5 linked regions of the Callithrix jacchus genome follow. The protein of the gene in region 1 purifies or fractionates together with the protein of each later gene. This does not show direct contact. Links are inferred from orthologs where the notes say so. Each region holds a gene or a part of one and is shown in the gene's direction. Other genes may lie near its edges.

Region 1 (3,951 bases):
CTACCCTAAAATGTTAAGCAAGCTCTTTAGCCTATCTTTTCCCTTTAGACTTTATTTTGAAAAATATCAAGCCGGAGGAAAAAAAAAATTGCTGGTCGGGAGTGGTGGCTCATGCCGGTAATCCCTGTACTTTGGGAGGCCGATCTGAGCTCACTGCAACCTCCACCTCCTGGGTTCAACCGATTCTTCTGCCTCAGCCTCCCCAGTAGCTAGGACTACAGGCACGTGCCACCATGACCAGCAAATTTTTTTGTATTTTTAGTAGAGACGGGGTTTCACTGTGTTGGCCAGGCTGGTCTTGAAGTCCTGACCTCGTGATCGACCCGCCTCGGCCTCCCAAAGTGCTGGGATTGCAGGAGTGAGCCACCATGCTCGGCTGAAAGTGCATCTATTCTAACTGATACCAAGGTTCTCTTTGCGAGCCGGTAACAACAGAAAATTTCTTTCTTTCTTTGCTTACATTTTTATAATCATGTATTTTTTGGAAAACTTAATTGAAGTTTTTTTCTTTTTAAAACTCCATTTAAAAAGAAACGATGGCGCAGTGGCTCACGCCTGTAATCCCAGTACTTTGAGAAGCTGAGGTGGGAGAACTGGCCAGGAGGCCAGGAGTTCGAGGCTACTGTGAGCCCTGGTATTGCCAGGGCACTCCAGGGTGGGCAGCAGAGCGAGACTCTTATCTTAATAAACAAATAAACAAACGCCGTAAACATTCCGAACTGCTTTGTTTTCCCATTGGTGAAATCTGTAAACATGTGACGGAAACTGGAATCTTTATTTTGCTCCTGTCCCTCTGCTGGTGGAGTAGGATTTTACCGCTGGTTCTACCTAGGCGTAGAGCTGTCTCTGCAAACAAAAATTAGGCAAGACCGAAAAAAGTTAATGTTCTTAAAAGATGTAAGTGGAGCCCGAAAATAGTTAAATTCTTGGGCTAGGAAGGCATCCTTTAATGCCCAAGTCTCCGGGTTAGAGAGGACCGAGCAGACGCGGCCAGAATCTCCAGGACCAGAGGTGGTGCAGGGGGTAGCCGCCGCCCACAGCCCAGGTCCTCTGGGCCGGCACGCCCCTCCCACCACCTCAGCTAATCCGGGCTGAGGGGGCGGGGATCGGGACAGCCGAAGGCGGGGCAGACGCAGGAGGGGGTGTGTCTAGGGCGGGGTCTGGCAGGTCCCTGAAGGTGGCTACTTTCGCTTCCAGCAGCGTCCCAGCCCAGGTGGAGAGTCGGGGCTGGCGGGGGTTCGACCTTTGGCGTCAGGAAATGGCGGCGGGGGGCAGGATGGAAGACGTGAGTGCACGGAGGCTGCGCGCGGCTGCCGGTCCCGGAATCCTCTTTTTCCTGTGTTGAGGCGCACTGGGCGGAGGCTGAGGGATGGAAACCTCCTTTAGCAAGTGCGGCCACAGCCGTAGGGGGCGCCGCCTTTGCCGGGGAGGCCTGGGCGCTGGGCTGTGGGAGGGCGCCGGGCGGCCGTGGAATCTGCGACACGCCGGGTCCGGGCTAATTTTCCTCGTGGAGACTAGGGCGGGCTTCTGGGCGGTGGGCGCGCGGCTCCAAAGGTTCCTGGCTGCTGCCCAGCCCACGTGCATGGCGCGTCTTTGGTCCCGGAACTGGCAGCTTCACGTGATGCGCGCCTGGCCTGACAGCCCTTCCTCCCCGCGAGTCTCCGGGCGCCGGGCCGCTGGGTTCCGCTCGGACCCCCCAGGGGCGCAGCGGGGCGAATCTCCCTTCCTGGTGGGGTCCCTTGCCTTGGCTGTAGAGGCTATGGACCTGGAGTGACAGCGACGCTCGGGCCGGGTGCCAGCGTACTGCGGACAGACCTGTCGCTATCATCGCCTGGAAACCCACACCAGAGAAAAACAGTGTCATGTGCTGTTTTGAATCTAGCATGGTAGGAATGTAAAGGTTTTTAAATCGTTGATAGATTCAAACCAGATTACGAAAAAAACACCAGTTGGCCCAGTTTACAGCGTGTGTAATACAGAATGATAGCATAATTACAAAAATCTTATTTCTTTGCTTAAGTATCATAAGACGTTTTTAGAGGAAACGTATATATGTCCAGAATTAACTGGATTTTCTATTGGAAAGTAATTTTTGCTTTTGAGAAATGCAAAGTTGACGGTTAAAGTACTAATTTGGGTTAATAAATTAGTAGGAATATTACTGTGATCCTACTGAATGAAGTACATTAAGAAAAGAAAGAAACATGAAACAGTCCCAGCGCTATGGTAGCTTAGATTCTTGAGCAGTGACCATAGTTAAATAATCTTGATGAAATAAAAACCAAACATTTCTAATGAGACTAAAATTTTCTATTTTTTCGAGTTGAGAAAATGGAAAATTAACTATAAGACCTGTAAGTAGACTTAAGACTCATATATATATTTAAAGCAAAATCTATTGTTTCTGAGTTTTTAAGGGTGAGCTTCATGAGCTGACAGTATATGGAAAAAAATGAATATGTAAGAAGAAAATGAGAGACTTAGAAAAACCACGTAGTAAGTGCTTCTTGGTTGATACTGAGCTGCTCTAGGGTTCTTGGATCTGTAGCTTTTAGCTTTAGGATGCATACAGTATTAGAAATCTGCTTCATCAAACACGGAAGAACGAAGCAGTCTGGGAGGCCCATGCCTGTAATCCCAGCACTTTGGAAGGCAGAGGCAGGCAGATCACCTAAAGTCAGGAGTTTGAGACCAGCTTGGCCAGCATGGTAAAAACTCTGTCTCTACTAAAAATACAAAAATTAGCCAGGCATGGTGGTGGGGGCCTCTAATCCCATCTACTCAGGAGGCTGAGGCAGAAGAATCGCTTGACCCCAGAAGGCTGAGGTTGCAGTGAGCCAAGATCACGCCACTGCCCTCCAGCCTGGATGACAGAGTGAGACTCCATCTCAAAAATAAAAAATAAAAAGAAATAAAAAATAATTAGAGATTAATGTTTTAACACCAACCACATATTGAAGTCACTTTAGATCTGACTAAGTCTCCTGCTTTTGGTATTTTGTAGACATGATTTCTAGTCTTCAGTAAAAAGCTAAAAATTGTGGACCATGCTTTGGGTGCAGACACTTAAATGAGTTGAATCAAAGACTTTGCGATAGTATGGATTCATTGTTTAGTAGGTACTTCAATTCCCAGCCAACATGGAGTAACCGGGAATAGATGTACCATTGTGCCTGAAACAACCAAAAAACTAGATATAACATAAGATACAACACTTTGTGAGATATTGGATGTCAGACAACAAAGGGTAGCAATCTCAGAAATGGGAAACAAATGCTGTGAACCCCATCACTGCCCTGGCTTACTGCCTTGAAAGAGTGCAGGCTGTGACAAGGCACGGGGAAACCAGGCAGAGCCCAGCAGATTTCTGAGTTGGTGAGATGGAGTTGAGGATCTAGGAGACGGAGGCAACTAGAGTTCCCAAGACAGCACCCAGAGAGGAGAGAGCTACAAAGAGGGAGAACTCTGAAGATCTGCATGGGGATCCCCCAGGCATCCAGTAGAGTGCTAATCGGGGCATGAGGAAGCTTTTGGAGGCCTCAAAAAGAACCACCTTAAAGGATTAGAAGGAACAGTTTCTCCATACAGGGCCAAGAATACTGCCTATTTCACCTACCAGCCAGACAAAACCCCCATAATTCACAGAACATGCGGGTGGAGTACTCAGAAAGGTCTTGTCTCAGTAGTGGAGTAGAATTAGCCCTAGATGAAGTCCACCTAATTTCTTAACGGCAAGACCAAAAAAATCAGACTGTTTCTACGTGACTTTGCTGTACTGCAGAACAAAGTTCAAGAATATAGGAATACAGAAAATGTCCAGCACCCACAGAGGTAAAATTGGAAATATCTGGCATTCAATAAAAAATTACAAGGCATGTAAAGAGGCAGGAAAATATGAGCTGTACTGAGTCCTTTGAAACTGATTCAGACATGAAATATGCTAGAAATAGC
Region 2 (3,513 bases), on another chromosome or scaffold:
ATTTAAGTGTTACATATTTATACTTTTCTTTTGAAATAGTTTTTCTCCCCTAATAGTGACAGGCTATGGGTTTGTGGGGGCGAGTTTGCAGGGTTGACGGCTGCAGGGGGAGGTGGTGCTGGTTGGTGCCATCCACGCAGGGACGCCACACTCTGAAAGCAGCTGTCACAGTGGCCAGGAGTCATCTTGGGATCCTGAAATCTGTACCAGTGTGGACTTACAGTGCTTCCTTCTCGTTTTGGTTAAAACAAATGTGGCCTTGAATTCATGGTTTCAGGACTGTTTTTCTTTTTTTGAGCATCTGGAGGACCTGGCTGGGGTGATGACTTGCTTGGTTGTCTTACAGACGGTGACAAAACTTCTCAACATCAACCCCAACAAGACCTTGGCCACCGGGAGCTGTGGCACCCACCTGGTGACCCTGGAGCTGCGCGATGAGGGTGGCACGGTCCTGCTGTTCCAGTTTGGGATGGTGAGGCCGGGTGTCCCTTGTGCCCTGGGTCTGCTCATGGGTAGCAGAATTAGGAACAAGGCAGCCTCACTTTTTCCTGCCTTTTTAAAATCCTGGTTACTCAGTAATCGATTTGGGCGGGGCTGCCGTGCCCACAGTGGGGTGGCTGCAGGGGTAAGGCTGCTGCTGTGAGGCCACGAGGCCTTCTGGCCTCAGACGCTGCTGCCCTACAGCCACGGGGTGGCCTTTCTGCCTGGAGCACTCCTGTGCAGTGAGCAACACAGTTAGGAAGAATATAAATGTCACTTGTCAATCTTTTTAAGTCGCTGTGCAGATGAATTAGCAGTTCAGTTTCCTACCATTTGAACTTTCCAAATCATGCTTTCCTGTGCCGTAAGAGCTCCTGCAGGCCCCGCTTCTCAGAGACTCTAACTCTATGAAGAGGTCTGGAAGGACCAGCCTGGCCGCACAGGGAGGCTCTGTCTCCACAAGTGATAAAACGATCGCTTGAGCCCAGGAGTTGAGGTTGCAGTGAGCCATGATCACACCGTTGTACTCCAGCCTGGGCGACAGAGCAAGACTCTCAGAAAAGGGCGTGGAAGGAACTAACTGGAATTCACTGGCCTTTTATAGACAGGATATTCTGTAGTTTTGTTCAAAAACTAGAAACATGGGAAGTCAAATTTTTTACCAAATGACCTTTCAAGTTTAATGATAGATGTTCGAGTCTACTCAGTGGTTAAAGATCATCTTTCTTTTTAAGAATGCAAGTTCTAGCCGTTTTTTCCTACAAGGAATCCAGTTGAATACAACTCTTCCTGACGCCAGAGGTGAGAACCCACAATCTCTGGAGCCCCTGCTCCCCACCCAGAGTGCCCCGGAGTTACTTGACTTGTGTGTGTGTTGCAGACCCCACATTTAAAGCCTCCAACAACTCCCTGAGAGCGCTGCAGGCCACCGTTGGCAACTCCTACAGGTGCAACGCCGAGGAGCGCGTCCGCGTCACCAAGGCGCTTTCCGTCAACATATTCAAAGTCTGGGTCCAGGCTTTCAAGGTGGACGGTGACCAGTTTGGCTCTGGTGAGTGTCGCCGAGGGCAGCTGTCCCGGGGTGTAGAGGACGCACTTCAGACTCCACCTGTGGATATTTAATCGCTTCTGTGTGGCCTGGGGCAACACCCTTGTTCCTATGCAAGCCGTTTCTTCTTCCCGGTCTGAGATTCTAGAGGAAACTCCCCCTGCTTTAGAGAGGCCCAGCGTATCTCTGAGCTGGGAACCCCTGGTACCATTTGAGAGTAAGGGTGTCATTTTAAGAACAGTGGTGGCGTTTCTCCCATGAAAGTTGAATGCAAAACCATCATCCGATGTGCTCTGTGTTCCAGGAAGCCCGGAGGCTCTGGACACAGCACAGCTGCCCAGCCACAGCCCCTGATTCCAGCCGGGGGAAAACATGTGTGGTTTCCCAGCTGTGCAGAGCGCGCCAGTCTCTGCAGCGGCTCCCCCAAGCGACAGCCGGACCTGGAGCCGTCTGCCAGAGTTCCTCTTGGCTTGTGGCTGACGTGGGGGAGTGGCGGGGAGAGAGGCCTGTTAGCAGGCCCCTGTGTGAGTGGAAGCTGACACTGTCCGTGTGTCTTGGCAGTGGAGGAGTGTCTGCTGGACGAGAACAACATGCTGATCCCCATCGCTGTGGGCGGCGCCTTGGCGGGGCTGGTCCTCATCGTCCTCATCGCCTACCTCGTTGGAAGGAAGAGGAGTCACGCCGGCTACCAGACGATCTAGCCCGGTGCAGGCACAGCGGCTGCGGGCCTCAGTCCTTTCCCTGGCATAGGGTCCTGTTGAGGGAGGCACACTTTCTGGCAACGTTTCTCAAATCTGCTTCATTCAACGTGAAGTTCATCTTGCAGCATTCACTATGCACAACAGAGTAACTATTGAAATGACGGTGTTAATTTTGCTAACTGGGTTAAATATTTTGCTAACTGGTTAAACATTAATATTTACCAAAGTAGAACTCTAAGGAAGGGTGGGAGCGCTGCTCTAAATTGGCACTGGCTCAGCTCTCGTTTGACTTTAAGATTCTGGTGTTTGGTTTCTTGGTTCTTTACTGCACTCAGATTGAAGCCTTACAAAGGGAAAGCCTCCGGCCGTCACGGGTGGGACGCATGAAGGTCACTCACAGTTTCAACAGTAGAGAGGGAAAGTCCTGAGACAGACTCCAGAGATGAGCGTCTCAAGTGCTCCAGTTCAGCTTTAAAGGCCACACGCGGCTGGCGCCCTGTCCCCATTCTACGGGCGGCACTCGGCGGCACATCCTTGGGCGTTTCTGATGCTCTGCGGCTCAAGGGCTGGCACTTTTTTAACTATAAAAATGGGTGTTATTTTTATGTTTTTTGTAAAGTGATTTCGGTCTTCTGTTGACATTCGGGGTGATCCTGTTCTGCGCTGTGTACAATGTTAGATGCGCTCCTGGTGTGTCGCCGCGGCTTGGGGGTTGTACACAGCATTGGCTCACGTAACGCATTGCCTGTAACAATGTAATAAAAAGCCTCTTTCTTTTTTGTCTGGGCCTTGTCCTTTTGTCAGCTAAAATGGGAGCTCATGAGAGAAGGATGTCAGGGAAACGGGGGTGAGGCCTGTCTCGGTGCAGTGAGAGGACGTCGGGGAAATGGGGGTGAGGCCGGTCTCGGTGCAGGGAGAGGACTTCAGGGAAATGGGGGCGAGGCCGGTCTTGGTGCAGTGAGAGGGCGTCGGGGAAACGGGGGCGAGGCCGGTCTCGGTGCAGTGAGAGGACGTAGGGGAAATGGGGGTGAGGCCGGTCTCGGTGCAGGGAGAGGACGTAGGGGAAATGGGGGCGAGGCCGGTCTTGGTGCAGGGAGAGGACGTCAGGGAAATGGGGGCAAGGCCGGTCTCGGTGTAGGGAGAGGACGTCGGGGAAACGGGGGTGAGGCATAGCCTGGCGTTGGGAGCTGACGTAGCCATTCTTACGGACGGTAGTTAAGATGTCTCAGGATCCGTCTTTCATTTTGAACAACGTGGCCATGTTGCTGTGTTCTCTCTTGGGGA
Region 3 (3,514 bases), on another chromosome or scaffold:
AGCATCTCAGAGAAAGCTGTTTGGCCAGGGTCTCCCAGTGGGAGGGGCTTGGGCCAGGCTGTGGGTCCTCGGACCTTGGCTGCTGGGGCTTCCCTCCTGTGAGAACAGACTCAGGTCAGGGGCGTGGCAGTTCCTCTTGGTTCAGTGCCTGGTGCTCCCCGGGCCTGGTGATAAGCACATGTGATCCTGGTCCCAGGGTTGCTGATAGTAGAGGGGTCATGGTGTCCAGGGACCTGGGGTTGTCGGGAGGTGACCTTGGGTGGACACGGGTCCCCAGCACCGTGCGGCGGGCAGCTCTTTAGGCGTCCCCATCGGTGCTGGCTGCCCTCCAGGGAGCATAGGGGGAGCGTCCCCAGGACCCCCACCTGCATCTGCTGCTCCAGCGTTTGTCACCCATGGTCAGGTGACCTTGGGAAGGGGACCTCAGCCTTGGTTGGTTTCCTCTTCTCGGGCTGACCTGAGTGGGGGTTCACCCCCCCTGTAGGAGGGGTGACTGGGGGTTGGAGACCTTTGCTTTGAGGGTGGGCAGCCTGTCAGCCAGCAGCCTCCCACCCTGAGCTGCGCCTGGCCACTGCCCCACTCTCCAGGGCTGACGTGGGCAGTTCACCTCACGTGGCTCACTTGGCACTTGGAGTCTCTGGGCCTGACTGCTGACCTTGGTGCACTTCCAGCAGAATTCCGGCAGTCATCCTGGCCTGGCTCTTTGCTCTGTCCCTTGCCTGGGCAGTGAATACTCCATAGCAACACCCTGGGCAAAGCTGGTCACTAGAGGCCAGGACACAGGTGAACCGGCTGGGTCATTTCTCCAGGAGTCTTGGGGCACAGGGGAGCGGGCACACAGTGTGAGTGTCCAGGTGGGGGAGGGGCACTCAGGCATGAATGTCCGCATGAGTGCGAGAGTGGGGGAAGGGACACAGGGTGAGTGTCCATGTGGGGAGGGGGCACACGGGTGTGAGTGCTTAGGTGGGACGGACACAGAGTTGAGTGTCCACATGGGGAAGGGGCATGGGGTACGGGAGGGGCACGCAGGTGTGAGTGCCCAGGTTTGGTCCCAAGGCCGTGGCTGGGGCAGGAAGTGAAGCCAGGCAGGGGTGAGGGTCTGAGGGCTTGGAAAGGCAGTTTTGGCTGCGGGGAACGTGAGTTGGATAGGAGGCGCTGCTCGGGTTTCTATACTTGGGATTGCAGAGGTGCTGACGGGAGCACAGGTGGAGGAGGGCGGAGTGCTGAGCCTGTTGGCAGGACTGGGTCAGGCCTGGTGCTGCCCTGTGGGGACGGGCAGCGGGATGGTGGCCAGCTTAGCCGCAGACGCCCCAGACAGGAAGACCTTCTCTAACGGGACTGGCAGGGTTTGCTGCGTTGGCGGCTTGAACTTGATCAGTGTTTAAAAACGAACCCCGGCGACACGGGCTGCAGGTCCAGGAAGTGCGGTGCACCCCTCCCGGGAGCGCCGTGCTGACCATCCACGGTCTGGATGAGGGGAGATGAGCCCACGTGGCTCGGGATTGTGGGTGGAGGACGTTGCAGGAGCAGCGGGGCAGAGGCTCTGGGGCCAGAACGAGCCATCCCAGCTTCCGGGCTGTACCTTCTCCCGTCCCGGAAGCAGACCAGGAGAACCTGAGTGTTGAGGAAAACCTCTTCTGGGGCAGGCTGGGCTCACCAGGGTATGAGCAAAGCCAACCCCAGGAAGAAGGGAGTCCATCTCTCCTGCCTTCTGGGCCTTTCCATCCCTGCGGGTCCAGGAAGACCCCTCCAGTCCAGGAGGCTCTCTCTGACTGCCACATTGACCCCCTTACTCCTGACCCAGCACCCGGGGGGCTGCAGTGGCAGCTGACGCTCCCTTCCTTTTCCTCTCAGGGACCCAGATGCACAGCCTGGGGGTGAGCTGATGCTGGGTGGCACAGACTCCAAGTATTACAAGGGTTCCCTGTTCTACCTGAACGTCACCCGCAAGGCCTACTGGCAGGTCCACATGGACCAGTGAGTAGTGGCTGCAGGCAGCTCCCCTGGGTTCTGTGGGTGGGGGGTGGCGTTTGGGGACCCTGGAGGACTCCCGGTTCTGCAGGTGGGGTTGCATGTGGGGGGAATGGTAGAGCTGAGCAAGAAAGAGATGGGGTTGGACCAGCCTCCATGCCCTCCATCCCCTCCATGACTCTTCATGCCTTCCATCCCTCTGTGACTCCGTGACGCTTGGTCACTGGGGCTTCCCTCCTCTGGGAACATGACCCTCCCTCCCTCCATGCGCCTCCATCCCTTCCGTGCTCTTCCATCCCTCTGTTTCTCTGTGACCTCCATGCCCCTCCATCCCTGTCTCTATCTCTTCTATCCCCTCCATCCCTCCTACGCTCTATGCCTCCATCCCCTCCATCCATCCCTCCATCTCTCCCTTCATTCCCTCCATCCATCCCTCCATCCTGTCCATCCCTCTATCCCTCCATCTCTTCCTCCATCCCATCCATCCCTCCATCCCCTCCATCCATCCCTCTATACATCCTCCTTCCCTCTATCCCTCCATCCCTCCATCTTCTCCATCTCTTCTATGCTCTCCATGCCCCCCATGCCCCTCACTACCACCTGAGGGTCTCCCACCCTCTCTGCCACCCTGCGTCTCTTCTCCCACCCCTCACCCTGGAGGGCCTACAGCCCCCTGTGCATCGGCAGCCTAGAGAGGAGAGTGCCAGGGAAGGGCTCCTGGGGACGGGCACTGGGCCCCCAGTGCACATTGTGATTGGGCATGGGCCTCACGCCTTGACTTCCCACAGGGTGGAGGTAGCCAGCGGGCTGACCTTGTGCAAGGGGGGCTGTGAGGCCATTGTGGACACGGGCACGTCCCTCATGGTGGGCCCTGTGGATGAGGTGCGGGAGCTGCAGAAGGCCATTGGGGCCATGCCGCTGATCCAGGGCGAGGTGAGCACTGGGGCTGGGGCTGGTGGGGTGGAGCCCCACGGCCACCGCTGCCACCCTGACACTGCTTGGTCCCTCTCAGTACATGATCCCCTGTGAGAAGGTGTCCACCCTGCCCGTGATCATGCTGAAGCTGGGAGGCAAAGACTACGAGCTGTCCCCGCAGGACTACACACTCAAGGTGGGCAGGCCATAGGGGCCTCGTGCCCCAGGTGAGCAGGCGGGGTGGGGGAAGGCATACCCCAGGTGAGTGGGCAGGAGGGGGGAAGGCACCCCAGGTGAGTGGGCGGAGGGGGGAAGGCACACCCCAGGTGAGTGGGCGGGGTGGGGGAAGGCACACCCCAGGTGAGTGGGCAGGAGGGGGGAAGGCACCCCAGGTGAGTGGATGGTGGAGGGAGGGGAGACACCCCAGGTGAGTGGTTGGTGGGGGAGGGGAGACACCCCAGGTGAGTGGGCAGGGTGGGGGTGCGCGCTCCAGGTGAGCAGGCAGTTGGGGGGCATACTCCAGGTGAGTGGGCAACAGGCGGGGATGCTCATGGTCTGGATGCCCACGGCGGGTTGCGGGTGGTGCCAGGCCTGGGTGCTGACCGCCAGCCCCATCCCAGGTGTCGCA
Region 4 (3,514 bases), on another chromosome or scaffold:
GCAGGTTTACGTGCGAAGCACAGACTTTGATCGGACTCTCATGAGTGCTGAGGCCAACCTGGCTGGACTCTTCCCTCCCAACGGGATGCAGCGCTTCAACCCAAACATCTCGTGGCAGCCTATCCCCGTGCACACTGTGCCTATTGCTGAGGACAGGGTGAGAGTGGCCAGCGCCCCTGGGCTGGTGGTGAGGTAACAACTCTGGCCGTGGACCTGCTGATGCCAGGCTCCTTTTCCCCACTTCGCTCTACAGCTGCTGAAGTTCCCATTGGGCCCATGTCCCCGTTATGAGCAGCTGCAGAACGAGACCCGGCAGACACCAGAGTATCAGAACGAGAGTTCTCGCAATGCAGTGAGTTGGGGCGGAGGTGGAGGTCACCATGCTGTCCTTTACCCACAGCAGGACTGATCCCCTGTCTGTTTTCCATAGCAATTTCTGGACATGGTGGCCAACGAGACAGGGCTTACAGACCTGACACTGGAGAGCGTCTGGAATGTCTATGACACACTCTTCTGTGAGGTGAGCCCACGAGGGTGACCACTCTGGTCACTCTTCTCCCCCTCAGCAGGCCCAGGTCACCAGGACAGTAGAACATGGTGCCTGTTACCGTCACGCCCCTGTGGAGGTCCAGGGAAGCTGTGCTTGTGAAACCTGGGAACTTCCCTCACTGGTGACAGAGATCCTCAGAGTGGGAAACAGTTTGTTAACTGTCAGCAGTCCCTGCTGCTCTCCACCCAGAGCTCCTTTCTGCTGAGTCTCACATTTCATGCCGGGGCTTCCTTTCCTGTACCCTGCAGCATCCACACCAACTGCCATGTCTACTGGCTCCAGGCTCTCTCCCTCTCTCTTCTCTCCCTCCCTCCCTCATACACACAGGCACCTTCCCACTGGGGAAGAGAGCTGCCCCCTGGAGAGGCTCTGGCCTAGGCCTGGGGCACTAACCTGCCCGCTGCGATACACAGCAAACGCACGGGCTGCACCTGCCGCCCTGGGCCTCACCCCAAACCATGCAGCGTCTGAGCCGGCTAAAGGACTTCAGCTTCCGCTTCCTCTTCGGAATCTACCAGCAGGCGGAGAAGGCCCGGCTTCAGGGGGGTGAGTGACAAGGGCAGCATGTCACTCTGCTCCTCAGGACCCTAAGGTCTGCTGTGGGGGCTTCTCACACACTTCCCCCTCTACTGAAACATTCCCTGCTCTTTCAAAACGAAATCCTCCTCCTCATGCTGTCAGTCACCAGATTTCCCCAGCTCTCCTTCTTTTCTGCCATTCATACTCCTTTTTTTTTGGAGATGGAGTCTTACTCTGTTGCCCAGGTTGGAGTGCAGTAGCAGGATCTCAGGTCATAGTAACCTTGGTTCCCGGGTTCAAGCAATTCTTTTGCCTCAGCCTTCTGAGTAGCTGGGATTACAGGAGTGTGCCACCGTGCTTGGCTAATTTTTTTGTATTTTTAGTAGAGATGGGATTTCACCATGTTGGTCAGGCTGGTCTCGAACTTCTGACCTTGTGATCTACCTGCCTCAGCCTCCCAAAGTGCTGGGATTACAGTTGTAAGCCACCACGCCTGGCTCATAGTCTTTTTAAAAAATATATTTATTCTTTCAGGGGGGATAGAGTTTCCCTCTTGTCACCCAGGCTGGAGTGCAATTGTGCGATCTTGGCTCACTACAACCCTACAACCTTCGACTCCTGGGTTCAAGCCAATTCTCCTGCCCCAGCCTCCCGAGTAGCTGGGATTACAGGTGTGCACCTCCATGCCCAGCTAATTTTTGTATTTTTAGAAGAAAAAGCGTTTCACCATGTTGGCCAGGTTGCTCTTGAACTCCTGACCTCAGGTGATCCACCAAAGTGCTGGGATTATAGCCATGAGCCACTGCACCTGGCCTATTTATTTATTTTGAAACAGAGTCTTACTCTGTTACCCAGGTTGAAGTGCAGTGGCATGATCTCGGCTCACTGCAACCTCTACCTCCTAGGTTCAAGGGATTCTCCTGCCTCAGTCTCCCAAGTAGCTGGGACTATAGGTGCATGCCATCACACCCAGCTAATTTTTGTATTTTTAGCAGAGACAGGGTTTCAATATATTGGTCAGGCTGGTCTCAAACTCCTGACCTCTGGTGATCTGCCCACCTCAGCCTTCCAAAGTGCTAGGATTACACGTATGAGCCACCGCACCCAGCCCTGCCATTCATATTCTTCTCAAGTTTCACCCACATCAGAAGATCCTCCCTCTCCTAAATGAATAGCCAACCCCAGAGAACCATGGGGGGCCATTTTGAGAAGGCTGAGAGTAACACACATGCCAGCTTCCTCATTTTAGCACCCAAAGGTATGCCTGCCTTCAAACCTTTTGACATCTCAGTTTTCAGAGGATATGGCAGTTACCTGATAAGGACTCACCCACTGTGTACTCTGAAGCAATCTTAAGTTTACATTTGTTTCAAACTGAAGTGCTTCTATAAACATGGGCAGGTTTCTGCATCCATGTTGAAATATAGGTAGAGGCTGGGTGCGGTGGCTCATGCCTGTAATCCCAGGACTTTGGGAGGCTGAGGTGGGTAGATCACCTGAGGTCAATAGTTCAAGACCAGCCTGGCCAACATGGTGAAATGCTGTCTCTACTAAAAATTCAAAAATCAGCCGGGTGTGGTGGCATGCCCCAGCTTCTGGGGAGGCTGAGGCAGGAGAATTGGCTTGAACTCGGGAGGCAGAGGTTGCAGTGAGCTGAAATCATGCCACTGTACTCCAGCCTGGGTGAAAGAATGAGACTCTGTCTCAAAACAAAAAATAAAAAAAGAAATATAGGTAGATATCTTGTTTTGTTTTGCGTCCTTCTGTACATTTGACAGTTCTTAGAGATAGGGGCGCCACAGAGTTCCTGCATGGTCCCTATGACACTGAAGAGTTATCCATGTAGGTGATGAGGCCCAGGACTGGCAGGGGCTGAAAGGAGCACAGACATGTCTAATTAGAAGGCAGAGGTGGCTGTAGCCACCAACACCAGGGACTTTTCTCCTTCAGGAGTCCTGCTGGCTCAGATACGGAAGAACTTGACCCTAATGGCGACCACCTCCCAGCTCCCCAAGCTGCTGGTTTACTCTGCGGTAAGCGCCGGTGCTCCCTGTGCTGTGTCAGGCAAGGAGCTGGATTTCTTCTCTGTTCGGTTCCTGGGGGTGCGGGGAACAGTGCTGATGGGGAGCCCCTATCCCTCACAGCACGACACTACCCTGGTCGCCCTGCAAATGGCACTGGACGTCTACAATGGCGAACAAGCCCCCTACGCTTCCTGCCACATATTTGAACTGTACCAGGAAGATTCTGGGTGAGTGAAGCTAGCAGTGTTCTCTGGAAAAGGCCCTCGGGGGGTGGCTCAGCGCAGCCCAAGGACCCCATTATGGGCAGGCTGAGCAGCTCCTAGGTGGCCTCCTGTCAACCCTCAGGAATTTCTCAGTGGAGATGTACTTTCGGAACGAGAGTGAGAGGGCCCCCTGGCCGCTCAGCCTGCCTGGCTGCCCT
Region 5 (4,104 bases), on another chromosome or scaffold:
AATAGTCTACTATCTACAGCCCTCAAAAGTTCCTCCTCTCTCCTTAGCCTTACAAAATGCCATCTGCCATGGGCATGGGCAAAGACTTCATAACTAAAACACCAAAAGCAATTGCAACAAAAGTCAAAATCGACAAACAGGATCTAATTAAAACAGCTTCCACACAGCAAAAGAAACCACCATCAGAGTGAACAGGCAACTTGCAGAATGGGAGAAAATTTTTGTAATCTACCCATCTGACAAAGGTCTAATATCCAGAATCTACAAGGAACTTAAATTTTGAAGAAAAAAAACATCAAAAAGTGGGCAAAGGATATGAACAGACACTTCTCAAAAGAAGACATTATGCCAACAAAAATGAAAAAAAGCTCATCGTCACTGGACACTAGAGAAATACAAATCAAAACCGCAATGAGATACCATCTCACGCCAGTCAGAATAGCGATTATAAAAAAGTCAGGAAACAATAGATGCTGGGGAGGCTGTGGAGAAATAGGAATGCTTTAATACTGTTGGAGGGAGTGTAAATCAGTTCAATCATTGTGGAAGACAGTGTAGCGATTCCTCAAGGGTCTAGAACCAAAAATACCATTTGACGCATGCACATGTATGTTTATTGCAGCAGTATTAAGAATAGCAAAGACTTAGAACCAACCCAAATGCTTATCAATGATAGACTGGATAAAGAAACATGGCACATATACACCATGGAATACTATGCAGCCATAAAAAGGAATGAGATCATGTCCTTTGCAGGGACACGGATGAAACTGGAAGCCATTATCCTCAGCAAACTAACACCGTCACAGAAAACCAAACACTGAATGTTCTCACTCATAGGTGGGAGTTGAACAATGAGAACGCATGGACACAGGGAGAGGAACAACACACACTGGGGCCTGTCAGGTGGTAGGGGCCATGAGGAGGGAGAGCATTAAGACAAATATCTAATGCATGTGGGGCTTAAAACCTAGATGATGGGTTGATAGGTGCAGCAAACCACCATGGCACATATATACCTATGTAACAGACAGGCACATTCTGCACATATATCCCGGAACTTAAAGTAAAATTTATAACAATGAAAGAAAGAAAAAAAAAAAAAAAAGAAAATGCCGTCCGCGCATATCTCTTAGGAGCATAGGAAGTGTTGTGAACCAAAAAGCCAGGGCGTGGTATCCCCGCCCACCTGCCTCTACATCACCACCCCTCTCGCCGCTTTCAAGCGCGGAGATTGGCTGTAAGCAAGAAAGAGCCCCGCCCCTAGTCTTATGACTCCCGCTGAAGCGCCGATTACTGGTTTTTGCAACGCTGTGGTCGGTGGTCACCCGTGCTCTTGACCCAGGTCTAGCGAGCCTTTTCCCTGGTGTTGCAGCCCTTGTTGTACCTCCGCCGCCGCTTGCTCTGCGGAATCATGTTGTGCTTCCGCCTCTTCCCGGTTCCTGGCTCAGGGCTTGTTCTGGTCTGCCTAGTCCTGGGTGAGTTGTCGGGCCCTTCCGATTAGTCTGTGCGCTTGGGCCTGGGGCGCCAGTTCTACAACCTGAAAGACTGGTCCGAGGGTGAGGGGGTTGAGAGGCTCAGCAGCAGACACTTGGCGGCGGCGGTTGGCCCGGGCAGGCGAGGAATGACCTAGAGAAGGCCTGACCGAGGGATGGCGGGGAAGAAGGGCCCAGGAGAGTAAGAAGGGGCCGGTAACGGGGGTGGACGCCGAGGGAGTAGGCTGGGAGGAGTGACGCGTGGAGAGGGTCGGGGTGGAAAGAGTAACTTGGGGAAAACACTGAGGAGTGAGCGTAGGAGGGTGGTACATGCAGATTTTGGGTGCCAGAGACAATTAGGAGAGTCCTGGTTTGTTGAGACCACGGAAGAGTTTTGAAGATGGTGGAAAAACTATGGGGTGAGATAGGAAATTAAGAGGGGAGACCATGCCTGCCAGGAGTAGCTTGGTGGAAGAATGTGGGTTGGGGCAGATAGGACACTAGAGCCTGAGGGGCAGGGGCAGGGACAGGGTTGGGCATTTTGTAGGTAGGAATTTGAGGCTGTGAAGAAAGGGTGATCAAGAGATGAGGAGTGATACTGGGTTTGAGTTTGGCAGTCACAGTTGTTGAGGGGGAAGGAACCTAAGGTATCTGGGGAGATTTCCAGGAAAGAAAATTTGGACTCAACCTCTGGGGACTAAGGGGTTCAGTGGGAACTTTGATGGGGAGTGCATATCTACTTGGAGGTATTGAGGATGTCGATTTTCTCCCAGTTTTGCTACTTCCTCCCAGCCAGGCACTGACAAAAAAATCCCCAGACGTTTCAGTTGGGAGGGCCTCCCACATGTGAGGTTTTGCGGGTGGAGTATCTGAGTTTGGTAGACTACCTCTTTGCCTTCAGAGTCTCTTGTTTTTTTCATCATCACACAACTAGCCTATTACCTCATTTTTGGGGGGTACAGGGAGCAGTTAGAAAAATTGCTAAGGATTGAGTTGTTACCAGGGCCTAAGAATGGCTGGATGGGACTCATTGCAGTGGCTCGAACCTGTAATCCCAGCACTTTGGGAGGCTGAGGTTGATGGATCACCTGAGGTCAGGAGTTCGAGAAAAATACAAAATATTTTTCTCTACTAAAAATACAAAATAGCTGAGTGTGGTGGTGGGTGCCTGTAATCCCAGCTACTTGGGAGGCTGAGGCAGGAGAATGGCTTGAACCCAGGAAACAGAGGTTACAGCGAGCCGAGATCGTGCCATTACACTCCGGCCTGGGTGACAAGAGTGAAACTCTCTCTCAAAATAATAATAATAATAATAAAAGAATGGCTGGATGACTGTTTGCTGATTGTGTTGTACCTTAATAGATAATGGATCCCTAACAGCTTTCATTGCCTAAAGCTGAACTTTGACCAGAGTGTCTCTTCCTGACCTGATTCATGCTGTGCTTGTTGCTACCCACCTGCTCTTGCTATTTCTGACCTAATTAAATAACATAAGGAGCAGACCCAGATGAGAGTGGGGAGGAAATAGACCTATTAAGGGTCTGAGAAAGCAGTGAGAGATATACATTTTGTAATTCACATTTCAGTAGAATAAAATCAACACCCTGGAATAGTGATTCTCAACCAGGGGACATTTGGCAGTATCTGGAAACATTTTTGGTTGTCACAACTGGGGGATTGCCTTTAGCATCTAGTGGGTAGAGGCCAAGGATGCTGCTAAACATCCTAACCAAGCACAGGGCAGGCCCTCACAACAAAGAATTATCTTCCTGAAAATGTCAGTGGTGCCAAGGTTGAGAAGCCCTGCTCAAAAACCATGGTATTGAAAGAGTTCCTGATTATCTAAGTCACTGACTCGCAAGGACTTTTTATAGGTCTGTGAAATCAAAACTTCAGAATAATGTTAAGAAGGTATTTGTCCTTTTTGGCTGGGTACAGTGGCTCACGCCTGTAATACCAGCACTTTGGGAGGCCAAGGCTGGCAGATCACCTGAGGTCAGGAGTTCAAGACTAGCCTGACCAACATGGTGACACCCAGTCTGTACTAAATATACAAAAATTATATGGGTGTGGTGGCACATACCTGTAATCCCAGCTACTTGGGAGGCTGAGGCAGGAGAATCTCTTGAACCCGGGAGGCAGAGGTTGCAGTGAGCCTAGATCACACCACTGCACTCCAGCTTGGGTAACAAGAGTGAAAGTCCGTCTCAAAAAGGAAAAAAAAAGACGGTATTTGTCCTTTTCACTCTTATCCTCTCACCAGTGTACAGCAGTTTTCCAGAAGCTACACAACCTGTGATGTCCTCACCACTCTGACGTTCTTGCATTTTATTCATTTCTCAGTTTTAATTTCTAATACTGTAATACCAATACATATGACTCACTTAAACCTCCATGAGGTCCTCAGTGGATAAGAAAGTAAGAGGGTCCTGACACCAAAATATTTGGGAATCCCTGATGTACTCCAACGGTTCACATGGTGCAGGAAAGTCTTCTGTACCACTTCTGAAAGGGGGCCATGAGGCTTTGCTTGAATACTTAATTCTAAGCCTTAACTGTATCTTGGAGCACTTACTGAGGGCAGACTGACCCTAAGAAAGGATTGTTTACAATGGAAAGTACCTTATCA

Evidence for each region.
Region 2: the proteins of TMEM192 (region 1) and LAMP1 purify together in Homo sapiens (affinity purification with mass spectrometry; 3 studies listed by BioGRID and IntAct, with this or other methods). This does not show direct contact. The link is inferred for Callithrix jacchus from reciprocal best matches to the Homo sapiens genes TMEM192 and LAMP1.
Region 3: the proteins of TMEM192 (region 1) and CTSD purify together in Homo sapiens (affinity purification with western blotting; 3 studies listed by BioGRID, with this or other methods). This does not show direct contact. The link is inferred for Callithrix jacchus from reciprocal best matches to the Homo sapiens genes TMEM192 and CTSD.
Region 4: the proteins of TMEM192 (region 1) and ACP2 purify together in Homo sapiens (affinity purification with mass spectrometry; 3 studies listed by BioGRID and IntAct, with this or other methods). This does not show direct contact. The link is inferred for Callithrix jacchus from reciprocal best matches to the Homo sapiens genes TMEM192 and ACP2.
Region 5: the proteins of TMEM192 (region 1) and LAMP2 purify together in Homo sapiens (affinity purification with western blotting; 5 studies listed by BioGRID and IntAct, with this or other methods). This does not show direct contact. The link is inferred for Callithrix jacchus from reciprocal best matches to the Homo sapiens genes TMEM192 and LAMP2.

What each region holds. Positions count from the first base shown.
Region 1 is NC_133504.1:29,996,532-30,000,482, forward strand, and holds the start of TMEM192 (transmembrane protein 192), read left to right. Parts: upstream 1-1,144; 5' UTR 1,145-1,258; coding exon 1,259-1,285; intron 1,286-1,643; exon of another isoform or gene 1,644-1,754; coding exon 1,755-1,886; intron 1,887-3,951.
Region 2 is NC_133502.1:28,771,959-28,775,471, forward strand, and holds the end of LAMP1 (lysosome-associated membrane glycoprotein 1), read left to right. Parts: intron 1-346; coding exon 347-472; intron 473-1,214; coding exon 1,215-1,281; intron 1,282-1,360; coding exon 1,361-1,531; intron 1,532-2,089; coding exon 2,090-2,229; 3' UTR 2,230-3,008; downstream 3,009-3,513. UniProt on the Homo sapiens protein: Lysosomal membrane glycoprotein which plays an important role in lysosome biogenesis, lysosomal pH regulation, autophagy and cholesterol homeostasis.
Region 3 is NC_133511.1:130,135,063-130,138,576, forward strand, and holds part of CTSD (cathepsin D), read left to right. Parts: intron 1-1,854; coding exon 1,855-1,977; intron 1,978-2,759; coding exon 2,760-2,904; intron 2,905-2,983; coding exon 2,984-3,082; intron 3,083-3,506; coding exon 3,507-3,514. UniProt on the Homo sapiens protein: Acid protease active in intracellular protein breakdown. Plays a role in APP processing following cleavage and activation by ADAM30 which leads to APP degradation.
Region 4 is NC_133511.1:112,302,546-112,306,059, reverse strand, and holds part of ACP2 (lysosomal acid phosphatase), read left to right. Parts: intron 1-4; coding exon 5-157; intron 158-253; coding exon 254-352; intron 353-430; coding exon 431-520; intron 521-963; coding exon 964-1,096; intron 1,097-3,019; coding exon 3,020-3,102; intron 3,103-3,213; coding exon 3,214-3,320; intron 3,321-3,438; coding exon 3,439-3,514.
Region 5 is NC_133524.1:116,348,472-116,352,575, reverse strand, and holds the start of LAMP2 (lysosome-associated membrane glycoprotein 2), read left to right. Parts: upstream 1-1,291; 5' UTR 1,292-1,414; coding exon 1,415-1,478; intron 1,479-4,104. UniProt on the Homo sapiens protein: Lysosomal membrane glycoprotein which plays an important role in lysosome biogenesis, lysosomal pH regulation and autophagy.